Linked DNA regions of Nothobranchius furzeri. The protein of the gene in region 1 purifies or fractionates together with the protein of each later gene. This does not show direct contact. Links are inferred from orthologs where the notes say so. Each region holds a gene or a part of one and is shown on either strand. Other genes may lie near its edges.

What was found.
Region 2: the proteins of ezh1 (region 1) and phf19 purify together in Homo sapiens (affinity purification with mass spectrometry; 4 studies listed by BioGRID and IntAct, counting the BioPlex papers as one, with this or other methods). This does not show direct contact. The link is inferred for Nothobranchius furzeri from reciprocal best matches to the Homo sapiens genes EZH1 and PHF19.
Region 3: the proteins of ezh1 (region 1) and phf1 purify together in Homo sapiens (affinity purification with mass spectrometry; 5 studies listed by BioGRID and IntAct, with this or other methods). This does not show direct contact. The link is inferred for Nothobranchius furzeri from reciprocal best matches to the Homo sapiens genes EZH1 and PHF1.

Annotation. Positions count from the first base shown.
Region 1 is NC_091745.1:7,469,532-7,473,269, forward strand, and holds part of ezh1 (histone-lysine N-methyltransferase EZH1), read left to right. Parts: intron 1-798; coding exon 799-827; intron 828-915; coding exon 916-1,041; intron 1,042-2,016; coding exon 2,017-2,195; intron 2,196-2,278; coding exon 2,279-2,374; intron 2,375-2,455; coding exon 2,456-2,537; intron 2,538-2,613; coding exon 2,614-2,694; intron 2,695-2,769; coding exon 2,770-2,854; coding exon of another isoform or gene 2,855-2,858; exon of another isoform or gene 2,859-2,896; intron 2,897-2,999; coding exon 3,000-3,060; 3' UTR 3,061-3,738.
Region 2 is NC_091750.1:35,547,265-35,551,640, reverse strand, and holds the start of phf19 (PHD finger protein 19), read left to right. Parts: upstream 1-1,550; 5' UTR 1,551-1,822; coding exon 1,823-1,827; intron 1,828-2,160; coding exon 2,161-2,344; intron 2,345-2,437; coding exon 2,438-2,519; intron 2,520-2,968; coding exon 2,969-3,082; intron 3,083-3,160; coding exon 3,161-3,258; intron 3,259-3,337; coding exon 3,338-3,486; intron 3,487-3,558; coding exon 3,559-3,654; intron 3,655-3,729; coding exon 3,730-3,919; intron 3,920-4,376. Other genes in the region: fibrinogen C domain-containing protein 1, read left to right, coding at 152-331, 402-661.
Region 3 is NC_091745.1:62,322,296-62,326,493, forward strand, and holds the start of phf1 (PHD finger protein 1), read right to left. Parts: upstream 2,827-4,198; 5' UTR 2,696-2,826; coding exon 2,691-2,695; intron 2,365-2,690; coding exon 2,286-2,364; intron 2,184-2,285; coding exon 2,102-2,183; intron 1-2,101. UniProt on the Homo sapiens protein: Polycomb group (PcG) that specifically binds histone H3 trimethylated at 'Lys-36' (H3K36me3) and recruits the PRC2 complex. Involved in DNA damage response and is recruited at double-strand breaks (DSBs).

The DNA.
Region 1 (3,738 bases):
GCGGAAAGTGACGTTGCGGACCTTACAACTCCGGTTTTGTTTGTCCACACGCAGACACCCAAAACGGAGAAAACGCAGATCTTCACTTTGGCCGGAGTTTTTAAAAAGATCCGTTTTTGTGTGAAAAAACTCCGTTTTCATGTGGATGACAGGCCAAAACGTAGAAAAATATCTACGTTTTGGCAGATCCCCGGCTACGTGTGGACAGGGCCTTACCCTCTTGCTTGAGGGTGTCAATGATGCCCTTCTGGACAGCAGTCAGGTCGGCAGTCTTACCCATAATTGCGGTTTTGAGTAATGAACCAGGCTGGGAGTTTTTAAAAGCCTCGGGAATCTTTTGCAGGTGTTTAGAGTTAATTAGTTGATTCAGATGATTATGTTAATAGCTCGTTTAGAGAACCTTTTCATGATATGCCAATTTTTTGAGATAGGAATTTTGGGTTTTCATGAGCAGTATGCCAAAATCATCAATATTAGAAACAATAAAAGGCTTGAAATATATGAAAATCTAATGTTTATCAGTACATTACAGAAAATAATGAACTTTATCACAATATGCTGTTTTTTTGAAGGACCTTTATATATATATATATATATATATATATATATATATATATATACATATATATATATATATATATATATATATATATATATATATATATAGTTTGTTTTGTTTTGTTTTTGTTTCTTGTAGAACTGTTTCCTAATAATTGACAAGAATTTAGCATCTCTGCAGACATCTGGAGAGGCTCTAATTAAGTAAACATGTGTATTTTTCCTTGTTTACCGTTTCAGATTGTGGGCAAAGATCCAGCTAAAAAAAGGTATTATACAAAAATCACAGCTGCCAACTGGCACACACATTACAGCTCACAGTCTTGTTTTGGGGGGTTTTGTCCTTTGTTGCTCCAGATAACTCGTCCAATCAGGTGTACAACTATCAGCCATGTGACCACCCTGACCACCCGTGTGACAGCTCCTGCCCGTGTGTGATGACCCAGAATTTTTGTGAGAAGTTCTGTCAGTGTGAGCACGAGTGTGAGTGTCACCTTTCTCTCCAGCTCCTTGTGAAATCAGGTTGTCTCACATCAACTGTTTTCTTTCTGGGTCGTTGTGACATTTATTTTATTCCCTGAAAGCCGTTTAAAAGACCTCTTTACTGGGTCGGCGTGGATCAGAGCTGCAGGCTGGAATGTGTTTCTGCAGCAGAATAGAAGCTGTCATCTCGTGGGCATAGGTGTTTATCACAGAGCTGCACCTGAAACGAGACACATCTTCTGCGGCAAAATAGTGTTTTCTGAAATGGCCACATGGTGGAAGGAACTTGTTGTTTTTTTATTTAGCTCTCTGGAAAGATATCAGTCCAGACAAAGCAGAACATGAAGTAAACATGTGGCTGAAAGAAGGTTTTAGGCTCAAATTTTCTTCATGTTGTGGTTCGGTCACCTACTCCCCTCCTCCATCTCCTCATTATTACCACACCTTTTCCCGTAGCAGAGGAGCGCCCGGGCCAAACAGGAAGCTGTGCTCATTTCCACATGTGTGCGCTTTAAAGGCTTGGAGAGAAATCAAAGAGATGTCACAAGCTCTGTGGCAGAAATGCAGCATCATCAGTATGAGTCAAACTGCTCCAGCGGAACAAAGCTCGACAAGACAGACACGAAACCCACAGAGGCTAGGAGGAGTTGGGATTTAAAGGAACCACGGAGCTGTCTGGACTTCTTGTTATGGACAATTTCCTTTTACGTAGAAGCTTCTGGGAAGAGATTTCGGATCACTTTTGCTTAAGCTTTGGCTTCATCTGCCCAGAGGGTGTTATGTTACAGTTTTCAAAATTGCATTTGGGCATATCTGCCAGCAGAGGTCTCATGACTGATGAGTCCATCAGCGTAGCCCACCCACTTACCGTCGCTCACATGCTGCAGCTGCTAGATTCAGACGTTCCAGCTGTTATGTTTTATTTTACAGTGTACATTTAAACTTTGTACTTCCTGTCTGTGAACTGGTTTTCAGGCCAGAACCGCTTCCCAGGCTGCAGATGCAAGACTCAGTGCAACACAAAGCAGTGTCCGTGCTACCTGGCCGTGAGAGAGTGCGACCCCGACCTGTGCATGACCTGCGGAGCTGCAGACCACTGGGACAGCAAAGTGGTTTCCTGTAAGAACTGCAGCATCCAGAGAGGCCTAAAAAAGGTTAGTCTGAACATTCCTCGATCTGATATGGTGAGAGTGTGGAAGGTGGGAGCTGGTGGGAAACAATCTGATTTATCTTCTAGCACTTGTTGCTGGCTCCATCAGATGTAGCAGGGTGGGGAACATTCATCAAAGAGCCTGTTCAGAAGAATGAATTCATCTCTGAATACTGTGGAGAGGCATGTTCACTTTGACCTTTATTCAAATGGGTCACAGAGCTTGTGCAAAGTTAATTCTTCTCTTCTTTTTTTTCTGAGCAGCTGATCTCTCAGGATGAAGCAGACCGACGTGGAAGGATCTACGACAAATACATGTCCAGCTTCCTTTTCAACTTAAACAATGGTAAGTTTGTGTTTCTATAGCTTTCCACAGGCAAACAGGTTCAGCGTGTTGACAGAATCCCGTTGTGTCCCTTTAGATTTTGTTGTGGACGCCACTCGAAAGGGTAACAAAATCCGTTTTGCGAACCATTCTGTGAATCCCAACTGCTACGCTAAAGGTGACTTGGTTTGATTTGGATTCAGCGTTTTCCAAAGAGTTGTGTGAGCTGATGTTTTGTTTATTACTGTCCCAGTCGTGATGGTTAACGGAGACCACCGGATTGGAATATTCGCCAAACGAGCTATCCTGCAAGGAGAAGAGCTCTTCTTTGACTACAGGTAGAGTCACGGGCCTTTTTGTGACTCTCCATCAGCTTACAAGTAAATTTTAAAAAAAGGAAAACAAAGCCACTACATATTGTTTATTTAGTGGCTTTTAGTTGTGTATTTTACTAATTTTCTCCTTAATGTTCCTCCCCCACAGATACAGCCAAGCCGATGCCCTCAAGTACGTCGGAATCGAGAGGGAGGTGGACTTGTCTTAGCTTTGCTGCTGTACTTACAACCTGGCTTTTGTTCCTCATCTCTGTCATTATGCAAGCTTTTACTGCATTCATCATGCTGATCAGTGAAATGCATATGCTGTCTTTGGACACGGATATCAGTTTCATGCGTTAGCTGCCGCAGTAGCTTCAGTCAGACGCTCCTCTCATGCACCCGGCATTCTAGATGATGTTGCACCCTGATTGGTCTTCAGAAAAAAGCGTGTCCAGGTTTGACAGCTTGGTTTGTTTCTCAATGAATATGTACAGCAGCTAGCATCACAACCACATCTATGTGGGTTTAAAAAAAATGTGCATTTACGTCAGCGTTTTGCAAAAATTATCAAAAAATTACAGGTAACCCGATGAGAAACCGACTGACTGAATGTAACGTGTTGATGACTCATTGTTTTTTTTTTTGTTTTTTTTTTTTACATTATTGGTACTTAAAGAAATGTGTATATCTGAAATATTTAGCATCATGTGAATATTATCACACATTACCAGGCAAATTAATGGTAAATAAATTAGTCTCAGATTAATTGTCTTCCTTTAAAATCGAATTAAAAAGTGCCAAATAATTCCTCACGTATATGCTAAATAAACTTGCATGTGAAATGTAGCTTGGTTTCCATGTCAAGGTTATAACAATAGTGATGTATGATTATGAGTGTTTGACCA
Region 2 (4,376 bases), on another chromosome or scaffold:
CCCATCTTTTTAGACTCCTTTTGGGGTTTTTTGGACTCTTTGGACTGTTTCTTGGGTTTTAGATTTTGACCTTGTTTTAGAAGTGTTCTGCAGTGTGTTTTTAGAAACACGACCAGTGTGAAACTTTCCCACTGACCCATCCCCTTCCCAGGTCTACAGAGGATCTACTCACTCACCAGGTCGGGTGGTTTCGAGTTACGTATTGACATGGCCGACTTTGACAACGCCACAGCTTTTGCTCATTACTCAGACTTTTCTGTTGGTCGAGACTCTGTGAACCCAGAGGAGGATGGCTACCCACTGCTGGTGGATGGGTACTCTGGGACTGCAGGTACTGAACAGTACTACCTTTACCACACATTCCTGGTACAGCTTTAACACCGATGCTCTGCCTCCTCCAGGTGACTCTCTCCTGAAACACTCGGGGATGCGATTCACCACCAAAGATCGTGACCAGGACCAGTCTGAGAACAACTGTGCGGCGTACTATCAGGGGGCGTGGTGGTATCGGAACTGCCATACTTCCAACCTGAACGGGCAGTACCTCAGAGGAGGCCACGCCTCCTACGCTGATGGTGTTGAGTGGTCCAGTTGGACCGGCTGGCAGTACTCTCTTCAGTTCACTGAGATGAAGATACGACCCAGAAAACTTGAGTCCTAAACCAGGATCTTGGACATCAAACCAGCCAGGACCTGATATCAGTCCTCACCTGTTAAATAAAGTGTGACAACTATTTTTTCTACCTGTAAACAGCGGATGGGTTCCTGTTCACAGTCTCTATAGGCGGTACTTGTTTCTGTATGACTAATGTTTGGTTACATATTAGGGAGGTTTTAATATTAAAGGATCCGCTGCTCTTCCATTTGTCTCCTTGCTTAAATCTGATTTTAGATATGAATAAAAAACTGACATTTGCTGTGACATTTTAACAGTGTTTCAGTATTTTCTCACAAGTTCATGAACAAAAACAGAATAATATTCAGTAAAAAGCCAGCTAATGGTGCGGAGAACACGCTAACTCCATCCACGCTGTACCAGTTTGTCTGTGGAGTCGGGGGGTGTTTAAAACCGCCTTGCAAGGCGATGTCTTGTCACCTGACTACTCCACTTTTTAAAAACTTTGTACACCAACAAGTAAAAAATTCTTTGTATTTGATAGTGCAATAGGCTGAAGCCAAGACTCAGTTGTGCCTGTCAGACATGTTGCACTGTGCTCAGTTGTGTCATTGCAAGTAGAATAGTAAAATATAAAGTGAAACATTCAAAATGAAATATTTATATTTTAATGTAATTACAGTCTTTTCTCGCTACAAGATTTTCAGTGTAAAAGGTTTTGCTGCTACGTCAAACTAAGCCAAATAATGCTGTCTAAAATACAACAATAACAATGTAGTCTTTTACATCTTTAATCGGTCGTTAGGGATGGTAAGAATACTATTATGGATATCTGAATATTGTAAATTTTTACTAGCAAATAGGACTTAGTGCTTTCTGAGAGTGCCTAATAAATGTAAAAACGGCTTGCCATACATTCTGATTATACGGGGTTCGGATATGGCGTCATCACGTATCTACAAACATCCTGCGATTCGCGGGAAAATGAAAAAATGGCGATTGTGGGAGTTTGAAGTGAAGGCAGAGACTGCGGTGAGGACAGAGACCAAGAGACAAAGACGGAGGAAGGGACGAAGACCGGGGACAGACTAGAAGAGACAGGGGGACAGAGCAGAAGGGGCTCGCCGGAGGACCTGTGACCCTCCGCGGCTAACGGTGCAGTTCGGAGCGCCGGATAACGGGAGAGGAGGACACAGCCCGCATCAGATGAGGTGAGACGGCTCAGTGGAGAACCGGCTCCGGTTCTTGACAAGTCGGCTTCATTATGTGTCTGTGATTAAAAAAAACGTCAGTGTTAACCCCGTTTTATTGTAACTGGGTCTTGCCGGTAGTTTCTGGTCGGTAACGAGCTCAGGGTGTGGTGGTTATGTGGTTAGTAGGTTAGTTAACGGTCTGTGGTGGAGGGATGCACTGCGCATGCTCACACATGTCAGAAACCCCCTTGACAGTTCAGGAATGAATCAGAGTTCGACCGAGAGTTCCTGTGCGCGCGCCTTTTGTCTGCTTGTTCTGCTCAACGGTCTCTCTCTCTCCCTCCTTCCCAGGATGTTTGAGGACCTGGTCCAGGCCTTCTCTGGTGTGGAACATCAGGTGTGTCCAGGGGGCGGGGCATGTCTTAGTGGACCAATCCCAGAGGATGTTGAGGGGCCGGAGTCTTGCCTGACTATTGGTCAGTTCGTGCTCTGTCATTGGTCAGATGGACTGTACTATGTGGGGAGGATACAGAGGGTGAGTCCAGCTTCAGACACACCTGACATCACACTGTCAGTAGCATCACCTGACTGGTCGAGAGCTCAAAATGCTGTTCTGACTGATGAACAGGTGAGCTCCCCCAGGCAGAGCTGCTTCGTCACCTTCGAGGACAACTCCAAGTTCTGGGTGCTGTGGAAGGACATCCAACATGGTGAGACGGTTAGCTAACTAGCCAGTCACTTTCCCTTTAACTAGTCGGTTAGTCTGATTATCCTGATAGGTTATCGGAAGAATGGGTCAGCGGAAAACATGGATTATGAGTCTTCCTCATTAATATTCATGACGTGGGTTAGGGAGACTACATTAGGCATCAAGATGGTGTCTCCAGCTGAAGATGTGATGATGAGCTTTCAACCTGAACACAACTGGACCAGAACCACACATGGGGAGCCTAAGTCGCATAGTCCAAAACACAATATTACCTTTCGTTTGAGTCGAACTACAACATGCGCGTGATTCTGAGGAAAAGCCTAATCGCTTTCATCGCCCCGTTCACTTACGTTCATTTTTTCTTTGTTCTGGGGACTCGTGAGCCGACCGGGAGGGGAGGAGACTTAGGCTCCCTTCTGATGCATGAAAATCTGTCCAATCACATTACAGCTGGGATACCGGGGGAGGAGCCTCACTGCTCCGTGTGCAACGGAGTGGAGCCAAAATCTGAGAACCAATCAAAACACACCAATGGAATTCTGATTTGTGGAAAGTGTGGCATAGGTGAGTCTGGTGGGTTGGACAGAGACTGGCTGTGTGGAGATGGTGTCCCCTCACCTGTTTTACCCGTGTCTCTGGCAGGTTTCCACCAGCAGTGCCATGTTCCTCCAGTAGAGGGCGATAGCAGCGACCTGAGACCGTGGTTCTGCAGGCGCTGTGTTTTTGCTCTGGCTGTGCGGGTACCGGTTTTCCTTCCTGCCCTTCCTTCCTGTCTCTGATTGGTAACCCCACATGACCGGTCCTCCTGTGTCATCACAGAAAGGCGGTGCCCTGAAGAAAGGAGCGCTGGCCAAAGCTCTTTGGGCCATGAAGCAGGTTCTGCCTTACGACCTGACCTCTCTGAGCTGGGACTCTCAGCATAGGACCAATCAGCAGCAGTGTTACTGTTACTGTGGTGGTCCTGGAGAGTAAGTGTGACCAATCAGGACCAAGTCTGTCCAGGTGTGTTGAACCGGCAGCTGATGTTGTTCTGTGTGCAGGTGGTACCTGAAGATGATGCAGTGTTTTAAGTGTCAGCAGTGGTTCCACGAGGCGTGTATTCAGTGTCTGCAGGAGTCCATGATGTTTGGAGACAGGTTCAGAGACGGAAACTTCATCCAGTCCACAATTCCTCCTGTGGAAAATCCTGACTGTTGTCTGGTTTTTCTCAGGTTTTACCTGTTCCTGTGTGCCGTGTGCAACAAAGGGTCAGAGTATGTCCGCCGTCTGTCCCTCAGGTGGGTCGATGTGGTCCACATTGTCCTTTACAACCTGTCAGTCAGCAGCAAGAAGAAATACTTTGAGTTGGATGAGATTCTGGCCTTTGTCTCTGCCAACTGGGACCAGTTACAGCTTGGAAAGGTAACAGAACCTTCTGATCCAGAGCATATGTTCCCCGGGGGGCGTGATGGAAAGGCATTGAGAAACACTGGTTTAAAGTAACGATTGATAGTTGTTTTTTTTTTTACTTTAAGCTTGAGCTTTAACATTGGTCTCAGTGATTGTTGAGTTAGAAACTTGACCAGTTTCATGTTTGGCACCACTGCAGCCCCCTGCTGACTAAAAATCGCCCTTGATAGTTTTGTGGAGCGGGTAAGTGTCCCACATGGCGCTCAGTTTGCCGATCATCAATAAGAAGTTTGCTTTTCAAGTAAAAGTAAGTGAGTAATGTATGTGAAGGCGAAGCAGAAGAGCTAAAACCAGAGTGAACATCAGCGCAGCCTACACTCGTTTAAGGGAGCTAAACAAAAACATGGACTGATGGTGACCTGGCTTTGTTGCTACAGGACTTGTAAGTAATAATATTTTTGTCCGACAG
Region 3 (4,198 bases), about 55 Mb from region 1:
TCTGTCCACACGCAGACACCCAAAACGGAGAAAACGCAGATCTTCACTTTAGCCAGAGATTTTAAAAAGATCCGTTTTCGTGTGAAAAAACTCCGTTTTCATGTGGATGACAGGCCAAAACGTAGAAAATATCTACGTTTTGGCAGATCCCCGGCTACGTGTGGACAGGGCTTAAGTCTGAAAGTAAACTATTTTGAAGCCTAGAAGTAATCTTGATGGGATTTATATTCAAGACTATATCAGGTTTCATAATAACTAAAGACTGCACATGTGAGGTCCAAGCAAACAGCGGATAAGCTAAAGTTTTATTTCATAAAATGTCAAAAATTGTGGTTTTTCAACAGAACTGTGCAAAAGTCTCAAGTCTTGTTGTTTATTTCTTTATTTCCAAGCACTCAGGCTATATTGTAATCTGTTTTAAAACATCCTTGTAGTGGATCTGGTTTTGTTCCATTTCTGTCTTAATTTGATAGTGTGTCTTTATAGTTTGTTTCTGTTATTTCCTTTGTGGGTGGGGACGATGGGTTTAGTCCCGTATAGTTTGGTAAGTTTAAAATCTACTGTTAAAACTTGAATAAAAAGGCCTTGTTTAAAAAATAGGTCCTGTTCAGAAGTTTTCCAAAGTCATTTTTGAACTTCAGCTGCTTTTCCAACCACATTTGGGAATGTCCTTTAATGGTTCATTAAGCTTCTTTATTAGAAACTTAGGAAATAAATAACGAGGGAGTGTCAATTTTATAGTCAAAAAATGGACAGAAAATTTGAAAGTAGGCTGTTTTAGGAAAAGCTTCACCTGATTGTAATTATTATTGTTGTTGTTGTTGTTGTTGTTATTGTTACTGTTGTTGTTATTCTTCTTGGAAACTGCTGAGCATTCTGAGGAGTTATTTACAGGTTGAGTTCAGAACCAAATGCTAAATAGGGTGTTCGTGTTTAGAAAGGCCTATAATAGCTCATTTACACAATGCATTATGGGTGTTGCAGTTCTTTGCACCACTGCTGGATCTGCAGTGTATCTGCATTTCTTATTATAAAGTAACAACTAGGGATGCACAATATGAAATTTTGGGCCGATACCAGTGTGTGTGTGTGTGTGTGTGTGTGTGTGTGTGTGTGTGTGTGTGTGTGTGTGTGTGTGTGTGTTATTACATACACACACATTTACGCATCATTGTAACATGACTAAACAGTCACACATCACTCTCACCCTCTGAAACTGAAACACAAACAGAAACAAGATGGAAGAAATATTTGTTGCCAATATCGGCCCAGATTTACTTATCAAACTGATACCGACCTGATGCAGATATATAATGTGCATCCATAGTAACAACCCTTTGACTTCGACACTAAAGGTTCCTGACTTGCTGAGGTAAATCTCTGATCTGTCATTCAGATGTGAAAAAGGCTCCCAAGAGAAGAGCCAGAATTGTGTAAACACAAAACAAAACCAGTTCTGAATTGGCTCTTTAAGCTCTGCCGTTACCCGAAGCCTGTCACATACACAACATGTTCCGTTTTTAGCCGAATCTATTAAAAAGGCAGTAAAAAGTTCCCAGTTTGACAGGTACAGATGCGGATTTTCGCTCCAACAAGGTGAAGCTGAAAGAGCCATCAAGCTTAAGGATGATGGATCTCTCTGGCCCTGATTCTTTAGAGACATCCTGACTTTTCTCGCATCTTTAATTCGGACACTTCTTTTGGCCTCAAATGTGTTCATTTTAAAGCAAATGAAAAAAAATGTTTACCTTAAAATTCTGCTATGACCAGAAAATGACAAAAAAAGAATCAAACCTGAGGAGAGAACTGAAGAAAACTTTACAAGAAAGCCCAAATCCTTCAAATTAAAGTGTAAAAAAATAATAGTCTTTCACTGACCACATTCTAACCATTAGTCTGAAAAAGGAAAACATGCATGTTAATGATAGCTTTCAGAAACGTTTTCAGCAGCAGCAACAGGAAATCTTCCTAAACGTGGCCTGAAATAATTTGGAGACTTGCAGGAAACTCGCTGCTGAAATCTGTTGCTCAGTCAGAAAAGTTCTCGGCGCAGGGAAGTTTCTAACTCCTCCAGCTGACGGGAAAAGAAAGTTTTTCTTACACGAGTGAATGTCCTTCCTCAGAACCCAGAACTCAGAGTTGTCCTCAAATCTCACCAGACAACACTGCTTGACTCCGTCTACCTGAGGAGAGCAGACACCAAACATCATCATCATCAGAGTGCTTTGGATCAACACACACACATACACACACACACACACACACACACACACACACACACATACCCGTTTTACATTGCCAAGGTACAGTAGTCCATCACTCCAACGAGCCAACACATCATCTCCCTCACTGACACCCCCCATCCTGAGGAGAGACACAGAGAGGAGAGAGCAGGGCTCGTGTGAAATGGAAATCCGATTTATTTGCTGAACACTTTGCCGCCGCCGCTGCTGACGGAGGGGTTTACAGCCCCGGCATTCTGACTGCCTCTCAGACAGTCGGGTTTTGGTGCAAATGGGTTCAAATCTAAACGCCCCCCCCCCCCCCCCTCCTCCTTCTTAGACCTGAGCATACAGCCTGTATCCAGCACAGTGAAGGATGAGAGTGAGTATACACAACCAGAGAGGAAGATAAATGATTACTGCACACATCAAACACACACACACACACTCACATACACACACACTCACTGCATGATGGTTACTGCAACACAGTTTCACTGAACAGGCAGAGCTCCCTGTGCAGCCACTTGAAGCATCCTCGGTGGACTTTGCTGCTGTCGCCACCTTCTCAGTTTTTAAGAAAACTTAAACAGATGCGTGAAATGACTGCAGACACTGTTCTTTTTCCACACTGCATTTGTTCCGGTGCATGCACTCAGGTCTACGCAGATGCAGGATGCTGAGCAGCATCTGATGGAGGATGGAGCCAATTGGACAGTGAGCTGGCCGGTGAAGGGTACCTGTCAAGTCGAACTCCTTTCCGTCGGGGTCACGGTGATTCCTGGACAGGAAATGCCCTCATCTGCCGTGGATCCCTGCTGCCCAGATTCCTGCCTGCTGCGATGCGCAGCTTTTGGTGGAAAAGAAAAAAAAAAAGAAAAGGAAACAGAAAAGTAGAAGATGTGCATGTATTCTGTGTCTCTGCCAGGCGCCAGTGTGTCAGTCAAGCCGTCAGCGAGGGGGAGGAGGAGGAAGAGGAGGAGGACAAAGGCGACTGTCCGTCTTTCAGTCTAGTTTGTCCGTCCTCCGCGATGCCGTTTCGTCATGTTCCCGTCGCTGTTGCTCCCCCTCCGTCCCCCCCCCCCCCCCCCAGCTACTAATACGGTGCGGGTTTGTCAAAGCTGCGCCGGAATCAAGCCGCCAGAGACGCCATCATCCCTCCCGCTCGCTCTCCGCCGACTTGTTGTGACGCAGACATAAAACACCGACATATCCGACCGAGGAGGGGGGCTCCTTATCGTCTGAGAGCATGACCGGTAAACAGTTGTGACAATACAGTGATGCCTGAGCTCTAAGGGCAGCAGGAGGGCACCACAGCCTCGGTGGAAGCGCGCGTAACAGCGGCCAATTAAGCAGCCAATTAGTGTATTTTCCCGCCTCGTTGATTGGTCTTCAACAAGTTTAGGAGACCGGTGGAGAAAAGTTTAACAGCAGAACACTTTAAAAGGTCTTGTAATTTTAGTCTCTGCTGACATGAACTTTACTCTTCTTTCACAGGTCATTTAAGGACATCAGCGGTATACAACTGATTCTGAAAAGTTTCGTTTTACTCATCATGAGGAACTCGTGCACACTTGCTTCAACATTTTCTCAAAATATGAAACTATACCGATATAAATCAAGTTATCCAACAACATGAGTTAACTTCAAATAAAATGAGAAGTACTTAATAAAAGACCCTAAAATATTACATTAGCTCACTTACGTGCTTACTGGTTAGTTCTGACAAATCCCAGATTGTTCGTGTGTTTATTTCACCAGTCAGACACGAGCACGGTAACACCGCTGGTTCAAAATGGCCTCTGGTAAATATTTCTTCAAAAGAAGGTGAAGTGTTATTTTCAGTAAGTGATCACTAGATGGCGCGCAAACACAAGGAAGTCTGTTGGAAACACTGCAGCTGGAGAATCAGAGAAGATTTGAAAGTGTCAGACAATCATAAATCACGCTTGTGTGGTTGTCAGGAAAATAGACTT